2 linked regions of the Daphnia pulex genome follow. The protein of the gene in region 2 interacts with the protein of the main gene of each other region in a pairwise test. Links are inferred from orthologs where the notes say so. Each region holds a gene or a part of one and is shown on either strand. Other genes may lie near its edges.

What was found.
Region 1: the proteins of serine/threonine-protein kinase fused-like (region 2) and E3 ubiquitin-protein ligase SMURF1-like interact in binary tests that used the Drosophila melanogaster proteins (3 or more experiments, as listed by UniProt). The link is inferred for Daphnia pulex from reciprocal best matches to the Drosophila melanogaster genes fu and Smurf.

The regions. Positions count from the first base shown.
Region 1 is NC_060027.1:2,522,858-2,528,702, reverse strand, and holds the start of E3 ubiquitin-protein ligase SMURF1-like, read left to right. Parts: upstream 1-2,388; 5' UTR 2,389-2,638; coding exon 2,639-2,693; intron 2,694-2,996; coding exon 2,997-3,144; intron 3,145-3,214; coding exon 3,215-3,348; intron 3,349-3,421; coding exon 3,422-3,655; intron 3,656-3,722; coding exon 3,723-4,356; intron 4,357-4,418; coding exon 4,419-4,710; intron 4,711-4,787; coding exon 4,788-5,006; intron 5,007-5,159; coding exon 5,160-5,338; intron 5,339-5,416; coding exon 5,417-5,554; intron 5,555-5,845. Other genes in the region: uncharacterized protein LOC124207999, read left to right, coding at 1-152; cleavage and polyadenylation specificity factor subunit 4-like, read right to left, coding at 290-347, 433-461, 536-675, 748-848, 915-978, 1,039-1,164, 1,227-1,430, 1,500-1,544 and 1 more. UniProt on the Drosophila melanogaster protein: E3 ubiquitin-protein ligase which accepts ubiquitin from an E2 ubiquitin-conjugating enzyme in the form of a thioester and then directly transfers the ubiquitin to targeted substrates.
Region 2 is NC_060025.1:6,991,436-6,997,151, forward strand, and holds the start of serine/threonine-protein kinase fused-like, read right to left. Parts: upstream 3,804-5,716; 5' UTR 3,284-3,803; coding exon 3,173-3,283; intron 3,109-3,172; coding exon 2,995-3,108; intron 2,921-2,994; coding exon 2,598-2,920; intron 2,531-2,597; coding exon 2,289-2,530; intron 2,215-2,288; coding exon 2,112-2,214; intron 2,043-2,111; coding exon 1,917-2,042; intron 1,841-1,916; coding exon 1,561-1,840; intron 1,494-1,560; coding exon 1,111-1,493; intron 998-1,110; coding exon 888-997; intron 775-887; coding exon 592-774; intron 505-591; coding exon 420-504; intron 293-419; coding exon 199-292; intron 68-198; coding exon 11-67; 3' UTR 1-10. Other genes in the region: E3 ubiquitin-protein ligase lubel-like, read left to right, coding at 5,044-5,049, 5,229-5,394, 5,488-5,648, 5,714-5,716. UniProt on the Drosophila melanogaster protein: Probable serine/threonine-protein kinase; maternally required for correct patterning in the posterior part of each embryonic metamere. May be involved in control of cell division during metamorphosis and ovarian development. May interact with costal-2.

The DNA.
Region 1 (5,845 bases), on a different chromosome or scaffold from region 2:
TGTGTTCCAAGTCGAGACACAAGGGCCCTGAGAGCCAGCCTCTGTTCCGCGGAGGACGTGAATGCTCCAATTGCACTTTGGTGAACGCACCAGAAGCAGAGAAATGTGCTGCCTGCTCCACCTCACTCACAAATGCCCCTACCTACATCTAAAGATTCCTCACACAAAAACCGTTCTACTACTAAAAATAATTATATACTAGTGTTCTGACTCCTTTTTTTTTAGAGAGATTTCAAAATTGTATTTATTGAATGGACAGAGACAGTGTTGGAAATGAATGTAATTTTCGTTAACTTCTTTCTTCTGTTGGCTGGTTACTCAAGAAAGCCAGATGTCCTTTGTTACACCTGTTTGAAATAAAAATTACAGCATGAGTGATATTACATTGAAATGCCCCAAAACGACTAATTCATTAATATAAATTCATCTTACCGATTTGCATAGTGGCCGCGCAGTCCACACTATTAACAACAAAAAGATAAGTGAATAAGGGTAATTTCAAAAATCGCGAATGTGAACAAATAAATTCTTTTACTCTATAACAGGTGACTTCATCTAAAGGTCTCAAATTCGTTCGATCTCTCTGGGCTTGGGAAGCGTTATTTGCATGAGTAGAGGCATCGGCGGGCGTGCGGTAAATGTCCTTAGATTCTGATGGAATTTTCGGACATTGAGCTACGAAAAACAAAATGAAATCAATTTGGGACGAAAAACTTGTATTATGTAATTCAAGGTTAGGATTCTTACCAGCTTTATGTCCCACTTCTCCACAGAAATGGCAGACTAGAGGCATCTTTCTCTTGTCACCCTTGATATCATCTGGAAGTGGAGGTAATTCAAATCTCGGACTAAGAAAGAAATTCACAGTTATTTTCACCAACTGACAATAATATTACGAGTTATTTTGTTCTTACTGGACGAATTTGCATTCGGGGCCGTCGGGACAGAAGCCTGCTGTGTAGTTCATGCAGAGCACACCTGAAACATTAAAGCAATATTTAAAATGATTCTTTCACGAAACGATAAAAATGTTATTACGTCGAACATGACGGTGTCGGCAAGTCGGTCCGTGACGGCAGAAACCACGATCATACCAAGGGCAATCTTTGATCTTTGTTTCAGGGTCAATGTGTAAGAAAGGGCATTCTTTGTTGTGACAAGCACCTGGGAGAAAGAAAAAAACATTAAAACTGTTTTATCAAATCAACTCTAGATATGGAACTCACTGAATCTGGCGTAGAAATAACACTCTGGCATCTTAGCCATATCAAATTCATGGAGAAATTCACACTGATCTCCTTTCTTGCATAGTCCTCTGAGCCAATGTTTACATACAATTGTCCGGTCTGCTCTGAGGTGTCTGTATGGGCAAAAACTTGCTCTCTGGCATTGACCTTTAGTGAATAGAGTGCACACCATTGCCGTTGATTCTGAAGAATTAAAAGACCCAAACATTATTAGAAGTCGAAACCATGTGCACATGCATTTAATTCACTTACTGTCCATTCCGGGAAATGGGAGATTTTGGGCTCCCAGCTGTTGCTCTATAAATACAAATATTGGTTCATTAGTTTCATTCAAATTGAAATATGGTGATGATATCAGATCTTGATTCTCTCTTACCCAAGGCAACTTCAATATCAAATTTGATATTGGCAATAGGCGCCATTACGGTATCCATGGTGCCCATTTTTAATTTTAATAGTTATAGTAAAATTCCTGCTGAAAACGATTTAATTTACCCATGCACCAAGCAACATGTACACCAACTTTTGCTTATTTTGCTTTTGACACAAATTTAGAGGAAGGGTAGCCGGGCTACCGCAGGTGAGACTAAACGGCATCTTTAGTTATATTCTTTTACGCTTTTAGAACGTTTCATAACAAAACTAAATTTAGAAATTTTGTAGATCGGAATTCAGCTTTTTATGTAATGGGAATTTTTAGCTTTTAAAGTTTAGTAAACAGTACCGCAAAGAAATGAGGATGGCAATTGATTTTGTGTGCGGTCATCTAGGCCTACACATCATTGCACAGATTGCACTTATTCGGACTCGTGTCTTTGTGTAAAGGTTTACTATTCAAATGAATTGAAATATCAGCAATTGTCTTTTCAAAAATTATCTTAATAGAACAATACTGCTAGTGCTACAGAAAGAACGCCGAGCTCCGCTCACTAGACGAAAAAACCGCAAAGATAAGCTTATCTGTAATTCTTCTCATTTCTCAAGTAAATCGCTAGACTTGGAATTATTTCAGAGAATTCGAGGGTGAGGAAGGAATTTCGTTGTTTGGTCAAAACAAACAAACAAGGTCGAGAATCACGAGACAGAAGTTTGCTTGTTTTGATTTTATTGCGTTTCGCCTCTGCTTATTATTTACAGTAGCTGCCTGGTGGTTCCGCTAGAGGGCCAGTTTTCCATTGCTCGCTGACATGGCTGCCTAAAAAGTGTACCGAGTCCCGTTTTGGACTGCAAAACAAATTGATTTTGACAAAGGATTTCTGTTCTTGTTATATATTTAGACTTACTTAAATGCATGGTTTAAGCCGCACGTGACTTTTTATTATTCTCGATGTCTGAAGTGTAATCTCAGTTCTGTGTTACGATTGGGAGGAGAGTTTGCCTGTTCGCCAGCAATGTCCCACACAGGGATCAATAGGAGAAATGGGGCCATTAAGATTCGACTCACAAGTAAGTGTTTTTTATTTTCTCTTTTGTTTTGATGTTGGGCCAATTTTTCAATCGTGTGCCACAAACGGAATTTTCATTGATTCCTCCTCGGTGAAGCAACATTCCTGGGCTGGTTTTCTCTCATTCCAGGCTTTATTTTATCTGATACCCTGTTTCCTGTCTTTGTAGAAAGGGTAAACTTCCTCTTGCCCCCAGGGGTGGGTTGAGATGGAGGGGAGAGGATTAGTAATGAAATAACAAGTCTTGATGGTATGACCGTGTCTTATTGATGTTTATCTCTTTCTGTCTCTCTCAAACCACCAGTACTGTGCGCCAAGAATCTCGCAAAGAAGGATCTGTTCCGTTTGCCTGACCCATTTGCCAAAGTCAGTGTTGAGGGATCGGGCCAATGTCACAGCACAGACACCTGCAAGTCTTCGTTGGACCCAAAGTGGAACCAGCACTTTGACCTGTAAGTCATCATCACCACCAGACAATTCAACTCTTCAACGCCTGACTGTTTTTTCTCTCTTTTCCCACAGGTACATTGGCAAGTCAGATGCGATAACCATCAGTGTTTGGAACCACAAGAAGATTCACAAGAAGGAAGGTGGCGGATTCCTTGGTTGTGTTCGAATCATGTCCAATGCCATTCAACGCCTGAAAGACACAGGATGTAATGCCAAATAATTCTGTCTTGTGAATGTCCACCTCTAAATTCTTCGTCTCTTTGTTTGTTTGTTTTTCAGATCAACGTCTTGACTTGACGCGCGCGAACGCCAACGACACCGATCAAGTGAAGGGACAAATAGTTATTTCCTTGCTGTCTAGAGAACAGCACAATTCGTCAAGCTGTCACGAGAACAGTGCAACTCCCGTCGTCCAAACCGTTGTGGACGCTCTGGGAAATGTTGCCAGCCCTGCGTCACCTGCAGGCATTCAAGAAGCTGCCACGGCTTCAGTCACCTCTCCCCTTCCGCAGGGTAAATTAAACAACAACAACTTGATGACTTTGAAAATTTTATTGACAAATGTCTTCATAATGGGCAGGTTGGGAGGAAAGGAGGACATCCAGTGGCCGTAGGTATTACGTGAATCCGGAATCGAGAAGTAGTCAATGGACCAGGCCCATCGTGGAGAGTAGCAGCGGGGCTCAGGCCAGCAGCAGCGGCGGCAGCTCAGTTTCGGCCAGCAATGGTCGAGAAAGCAGACGCAGTCACAGTAGCAGAGAACGTGATAAGCGACATCCAGCGGTTCCGGTTCAACAAAGTCACAGTCTGGATGCGGTGTCGTCGTCCAACTCTTCCGGATCGTCTTTCAGAAGACGATCTGTCCGCCATCGGCAACCGCAACAACAACAACAACAGCCATCAACCCAGCAGCAGCAACAGCAACAGCAGTCGAGACGGCCCTTGGCCAACGATTTGCCGGATGGCTACGAAATGCGTAAAACCGGCCAGGGTCAGGTTTACTTTTATCACGTGACGACCGGCATCAGTACGTGGTACGATCCGCGAATCCCACGAGACCTCCGCGATCTTCCCATGCCCGGCGCTCTGCCCCCTGGCTGGGAAATGCGTCACACTCCTTCGGGCAGGATTTATTTCGTGGACCACAATAACCGGACGACGCAATTCACCGACCCTCGTCTCTCTACGGGACTGGCCTTGCAAAATCTCCTCAAGTAAATTATTTCAAATAATAAAATTGACGTCCTTTTTTTTTAATCACGTGAATTTTTTCCAGTCTCCACCGGTCAGACCATCGTGCAGCCCCGTCGCAACCTCAACCGACCCTGCCACCACCCAACGCCGTCGCCACGTCGGAGAATGGGGCCTGCGCGGCGCCTGTGGCCAATTCGACGTCCGCCCCACCCCCGATGGCCACTCCCCTGCCGGACGAGAAACAGGAAGAGGCTCTGCCGCGTTACAAGCGCGACCTGGTCGCCAAAATTAAAATCCTGCGGACGGAATTGCAGACGATGCAACCGCAATCCGGACACTGCCGGCTGGAAGTCTCTCGGACTGAAATTTTCGAGGTTTTGCCAACTTTTGATTTTGATTGAATTGAATTGAATTGAAAACTAACGGGAATAATTGATTGATTGTCATTCAGGAGTCGTATCGGAGCATCATGAAGTTGCGCCCGAAGGATCTCCGCAAAAGATTGATGGTGAAATTCCGCGGCGAGGAAGGGCTGGATTACGGCGGCGTTGCCCGCGAGTGGCTTCACCTCCTCTCGCAGCAGATGCTCAACCCGTACTACGGTCTTTTCTGTTACTCACGCGAAGATAACTACACGTTGCACGTCAACCCCGACAGCAGCGTCAATCCGGTAATGGATGGCCATTGTTTATTTTTCTTTCGTTTGTTTGTTTGTTTGTTTGACAAATAAGTGATTACTCATGCGCTGCCGGAATGGAAAATGAGATGATTCATGGTTATTTTTCTTTATTTTTCTTTTTGGCGGGGTGGGGGAATTGCACAGGAGCACTTGTCCTACTTCCACTTTGTCGGCCGGATCATGGGCTTGGCCGTCTTCCACGGCCACCATTTGGACGGTGGCTTCACCTTACCTTTTTACAAAATGCTCCTCAACAAAGCCATCGTTCTCGATGACATCACTCACGTCGATCCCGAGCTCCACCGCTCCTTGACTTGGATGCTGTACGTGATTTCTTTCTTTCAAAAAATTAATTCCGTTTCATTGACTGAAATCTTTTTCTTTTCTCTTTTGATCCGCAGTGAAAGTGACATAACCGGAGTGATCGACACGACTTTCTCGGTCGAGCACAATGCTTACGGCGCCATTCAAGTCCACGACCTCAAGCCCGACGGCCGTGATTTGATCGTCTCCGAGGAGAACAAACGGGAATACGTGCGGTATGGCCTCACAACTCTTTTTTTCTTTTCCACACTCATTAAAAATGACAACTAGCAAACATTATGGGGCGTATCAGTTCCCAGCTTTCTTCTTTCTTGTTGTTCTCCCCCCCCCCTTCCTTCTTGATTATCATGATGTGGGCGCGGCCGACCTAACGGACAAGACTACTGTCCCGCGGTCAAGACCGTATTTGGCTCTTTTTTTTATTTTCACGTTTTTTGTTGTTTCTTTTTCGAAACTTAGCGGGGTGTGGTCTGGATGACTTTCCAGGTCCCGTCACGTTTCGCAGC
Region 2 (5,716 bases):
GCTCGTCCATTCAGTTTCCGGCCCGGGTTTTATGGCCGCTCAGCAAACGATAGGCGAATGTGGCACTCTGTCGGGGAGAGAGAGAGAGAAAAAAGAGAAGGGGTTAAATCAGAGAAAAAGATAAGCGAAAAAGAATCGGCTATAGGCTAGGCCTTCGAAAGAAAAGATGTTGGATATCCCAAACTTGGGGGTACAGACCTGCCTGACCCGAGGATCGCTATCTGCTAGCAATTGCTCCACGCGCTCGACGACGACAGGCTGTCTGCTCAATTCCTTGAGCTTGTCAGTGCCCCTGGGCGAAACGAGGCGAGAAAGAAAACAAGAGAATAGGAACATCATTCACGCTGTTTGCTGCAGCTGACGTCATGGGAAAAAGCTGTTGTATTTTTATTGTATTTCTTTTTTTCTTTTTCTCTTACCTGAGAGACAGGTATCCTATGAGCGTACAACACCTGGACCTAATCATGGGGTTTCGATTCGACAACAAACGCACCAAATTTGTGTCTGTCATGTCGCACAAGGGTAGAAAGAGATGGTGAGATTAGCCGTTCATTTTCTTATTTTTCAAGGCAATTGTGTGAAATGTAATACCTCTTTGAGTGAGAATATCTTGGACGACGCTAACGTTCTCGGCTCGAGTGCGCAGGACGTGCGACAGGATGGCCAGAACGTGGCCGACTGCATGGGCTTTGCGACGATCGACAGACAACAGGTGATGAATGGCGGCCGCGCAATCCAGCACGCAAACAGCATCGCAGAATTGATTGATGAATTCTGTTGTGAATTCAATCGGGGGGAAAAAAAGGGAAGGAATAGAAAATTAAAATAATGATTAGCCACCCCCACTTTCGTTTCCAGTTACACAAGAGCTCGCGATGAGTGATTACCTGCGGTCGTACTCAGGTGCACCAGACGGGCCATCAAACCCAGCAGCATTTCTAAGGACTGCAGATCGTCGGCCGTCAATTCGGCGTCCGTCTTTTTACTGTCGATGCTCCTGTTTTTGGGCACAACCCAAAAAAAAAAGAAAAATAGAAAACGAAATGAAATCACATGGGAGAATGAGAAATGGAATTTAGACTGTGACAAATAAACAAAAAGAGGAGTTACCCGGTGCTACGGTTATCGCCAGATCTTCTCTGAACCATTACTTTGCAAGCGTACAAGAGATTGGGCACGACGCGGGTGTCTGCGTAGGCGCGGACGATTAATTCTTCGTCGACTGATTCCTCGCGGTCGATTCCAGCCCAAGGCAGGGCCAGCAGAGTCGCTATACGTTCGACTAGGCTCGGGCTGGCGTTGACGTTGCGTAACGGAGCCACCACAACGGCGACGAGATCCCTCTGCTCCAGCGTCTGCGGATTCTCTATGGCGTCGGCCAGCGTTCCGTCAAGAAACTCTTCCCATTCGTCGTTTTCCAGAGATTTCGACAGCAACGAACCGGCGGCGGCGGTTGCGGCGGCCGCAACTTCGCCAGTTGTCGTTTCCTTGGCCTAGAATGAATCAATCATCATTTGGTCAATCCTTTCTTCTATGATAGGACTGCACATCGATTTTTACCTCCGTTTTGGGCTCGATGGAAGGTGAAACAGTTTCTTCGACAGTCGGCTGGTTGTTTGGCGGGTTGGGCACGGCTGGCTGAATGAGGGAGAAATGATGAGCGTTGGTGCCAGGATCGAGGGGATCGAAATCGGCCACATTTTGTTTGGTCGGCCATCTGGTCGTTTCTAAAATTCTTTCCAGCAATTGCTGCCTCTCACTGATCCGTGGATCGATGGCAGGCGGTAAACGGTGGGTGTCGACGGCTGCACTTTGGCGACGCGTCCAGTCTCCAAATGCACTATTCGACCAAAATGATAAAGTTTTAAATTTAAAAAAAAACGCGACTTTTAGAAATTCTGTTTAAAGTGACGTACGGATTGTATTGGGTGCTGTGGAAGGCGGCGGCGGGATGGGCCAGCAATTGTTTGGGCTGAGAAACTGGAGCGCTATTTCGGCGTCGTTCGTACTCTTCTAATCTCTGAAGGGCTCGCGTGAAAACCCTTGTAAAAGAACAACCAATAAATTTCAGTTAAAGGATTGGATAAAATAATCAGCACGACAATGTTCACTTGTTTTTGAACGGCATCTTTTGGGAGAGATCTTGTCTTTGAATCTCTTTGGCCAGTTCCTGCGAAGCCGTCAAGGCAGTCGTTAAGGGAAGCTGAGGTCTCACTAGAGAGAAGGTAAAGAGGGAATCAGTGAAATTTGTTACCTTTACCAGAAAAGGAACATTGTATTGAACATACGTCTTTCAGGTGGGAGCAGAACTTTGTTCTCCAGGAAAGGATGCTCGAGCAAGTGAGGCCAAGTTAGCCTGCGGCGAGGATCTTTCTCCAAGAGACCTTGAAGGAGGTTGAAACAATCTGGGCTCAGATTTGTGGGCCAAGGCACGGTTTCGTAACGAATTTTTCGTATTAGTTGCAATAAAGATGTGGTGCAAAAGGGTGGCGATCCAAAAAGGAGCTCATACAAAATGCAACCTAAGGACCTGTTGTAAAAATGAAGGGTAAATCAACAAATCTTTGAAGAGACAATATCTGCAATAAAAAATGTACCATAAATCTGCATTATGATCGTATGGCTTTTCCTCTATGATTTCTGGGGCCATGTACAATGGAGTTCCTTTGACAGATGTTAGCACATAAGTGTTGAGGTCCATGGATCTTGCAAATCCAAAATCGCAAAGTTTAATGATGCCATCACTTGTCAGCAGTATATTCTGAGGTTTGATGTCACGGTGTAATATCCTGTCTGAATGAAGGTAGTAGAGAGCAGATAGCAACTGGCAAGCAACCATTCGCATTTTGTCTTCACAGAGTGTCCCATCTTCCAGTAGTTTGTACAAGTCACTTTCAACATACTCAGTGACAACAACTAGCTGGATGGAGAAATAAATCGTTAATAATCAACACACAAAACTACAACAAATAAATTGTGAAATTTCTTGATTACCTCTTTAAATGTCTCAAAGGCACCAAGCATGTGAACAATGTTTGGGTGACGCAAGCCTTTCTGGATTTCAAACTCGTGTCTCAAGCTTTGCAGCTCACATTCTGTCCTACCAATCTACAAACGCAAAGTATAGAATTTGTTACAATGAAATGGAAAGGAATTTATTTATAACACTTACTTTTGGAATAAACTTGAGAGCAACCAAACCTCTCAAGTGTCTATGTCTTGCTTTGTAAACTCTTCCAAAAGATCCTTCTCCAATTTTTTCTAATACCTCATAGTCTTCCATTTCAACGCACTTTCAACTCGGATTTATTAGATAATTTGAATGTTAAGAAACCACAATAAAGCAGTGTCACTTCTTTTACCGCTGTTAAGAAATGGATATAATTGTAGTGATCATTACGATTCTTGGATTTTAATCAGAAATGAATTGTCTATAAACAAAAGAAGCCATCTAGCGAAGCTTAGACTAACAATATTCCCATGTAAATATCTGGATCAGAGATGGCGCTGTATTTTCGAATAAGGCCAACTGGCAAGGTGATGAAAATGATTCCCGAGCCAGATAGACATGATTAAATCTGACGAAGTGGTGAACATATAACACAGGGATAACAATGATATATTTATAAGAAAATTCCATAAGAGTATAAATAACTAAACAAGCCAGTGCGCTGTGCACTGGACCAAAAAGTGCAAAAGCCGCGAAAAGCAGTAAAAGAGACAGTACGCACGCGGTATGCTACACGCCCTACGAAGGTGGAAGATATATGGGCGTGAAGAGAATTTAAAAAAAAAAAAAAAAAAAAAACACACAACAAAGACCGGTAAAACAACCGGAAATGAATGTGTTGAAAATTTACGTTATTCCCATCACCGAGATGGTACAAATCTATCGATTCCCTATTTTTTTAAAAAACATATTTTATTTAGCTACAAGAGTGTAAAGATAAGAGTAAACAAAGAATTAAATATAGAAGATGAATAATTCCGGTAGGTATTTAATCAAGATTAAACTTTTGAAATGCTTTGCATGGACAAATGAGGTGTAGCTAATGATTTGGATATCGTTGTTGATAAATATTTGGTAGCAGAATAGTCTCTGACGACGGAGGTGGCTTCCTATAACCGTGGCAATGACGCGCCGGCAGTCAGAGTTGGAAACCTTGAATGCCAAGCTATTTTTGACTTTCTTCCAGAGGAATATATAAAGTTTAAATCCGTGACGTCTGAGAGAAAGGCCAGCTGCATTCAAACACGGCACACACAATAAGCGCGAGTGTTGATTTTGTTCCTGCGAAACTACATCTCGAGAACTCGGATGGGTTTTTGATTCGGTAAATTGACAAGGAAGTATTCAGTTCATTCAACTCTAGGCAATTGAAATAGTTGCATGCTCAGGCAAAAAAACAAACTTGTTATTATTTACGATACGTTAATCTAGTAAAAACTTTATTTATTTTGTTTCATATTTTCTGATAGTTTACTGTAATCTACTGAACGATTACTAGCTATTATAGTACACCTCAGTTGATAAAACTTTTTTTTTTTTGTTTGCACGGGTGTTTACATGATGTTATTTACCATTAAAATCCCGTTGGCTACACCTTCCGAATGCCTTCCAATGAAGGCCAAATCTATTCATGCATGTCTAGATTGATTCTCACTGACGCGCTGGCGGTGTCTCACGGGGGAGAACTGCCCCGGTACAGGGAAGATACGACCAGCAGGACGAGCTCGACGATATTTTTGGGATTTTGCTTTTTGTCAGGGGGTGCCGTGTGAATCGCTGGCAGATTGCCGACAATTCCAGCGGCCCATTCCTATCCTGTTTGTCGCACTGCTTTGCTCTTTGGTGTCTATTCCGGCGGGGCGAACGGACATCATCATCGCACAGTGCGGCGTGCGGTCCGCCTTTTCCATCTCTCCGGGAGTTTATATACGATTTTTCAGTCGATTTTTGAGTGTGGGGATCGTTTTATCCGTTTCCGCAATTGGCTATCTCGTGTCGAATCTATCCCATGTCTCCTGTGAGTGTCAAATGAAATGAGGGTACGTCAACGCTATTATTTACTACTTCAGACCACCAGCATCAGTTATACTTTTGATTGCGATGCGAAACAACTAAACCAATTCTTTGCAATCAATTTTGTGTCAGTTTTTATGGGGGAAGTTGGTGTTGGTTAATTTTTTGAAATTAATTTTGTTTCTATGCTGTGGGAATTATTTAGCAAATTACGCCGGCTAGTTCCGAAAATAAATCTGCATCTGCTACCAACGACGCTGCATCTGCTGAACCACCTCCATTACCCACAACCCAACCACCGCCCTTGGAGGACGAATACGAAGACATAGAATACGGGACTGGGCATAAAGCTACGTTCTCAATTCGATTTGGTACAATTTATTTTTATTTTTGTATGCACAAAATGGTTAGCTCAAACGAAAAGCTATTAATCATCCACTTTGGTATTTTCCAACACGTTGTAGGTGGAAAAATGGAGCCGAGAAAAGGCGATGGACGTCACTGTGAACTTTGTGGATCCTCAAGTCCAAAAGTTCGGTGTGAGAAATGTCTCAACCAAATATTTTGCTTATCCTGCGATGACATGTATCATCGACACCCTAAAAGAATGAATCATTCTAGAAAAGTACTTCCATATTTTGAAAAATACCCTCAATGTTATAGATAACGAAAGAATTCGTCTTTTCACAGGCG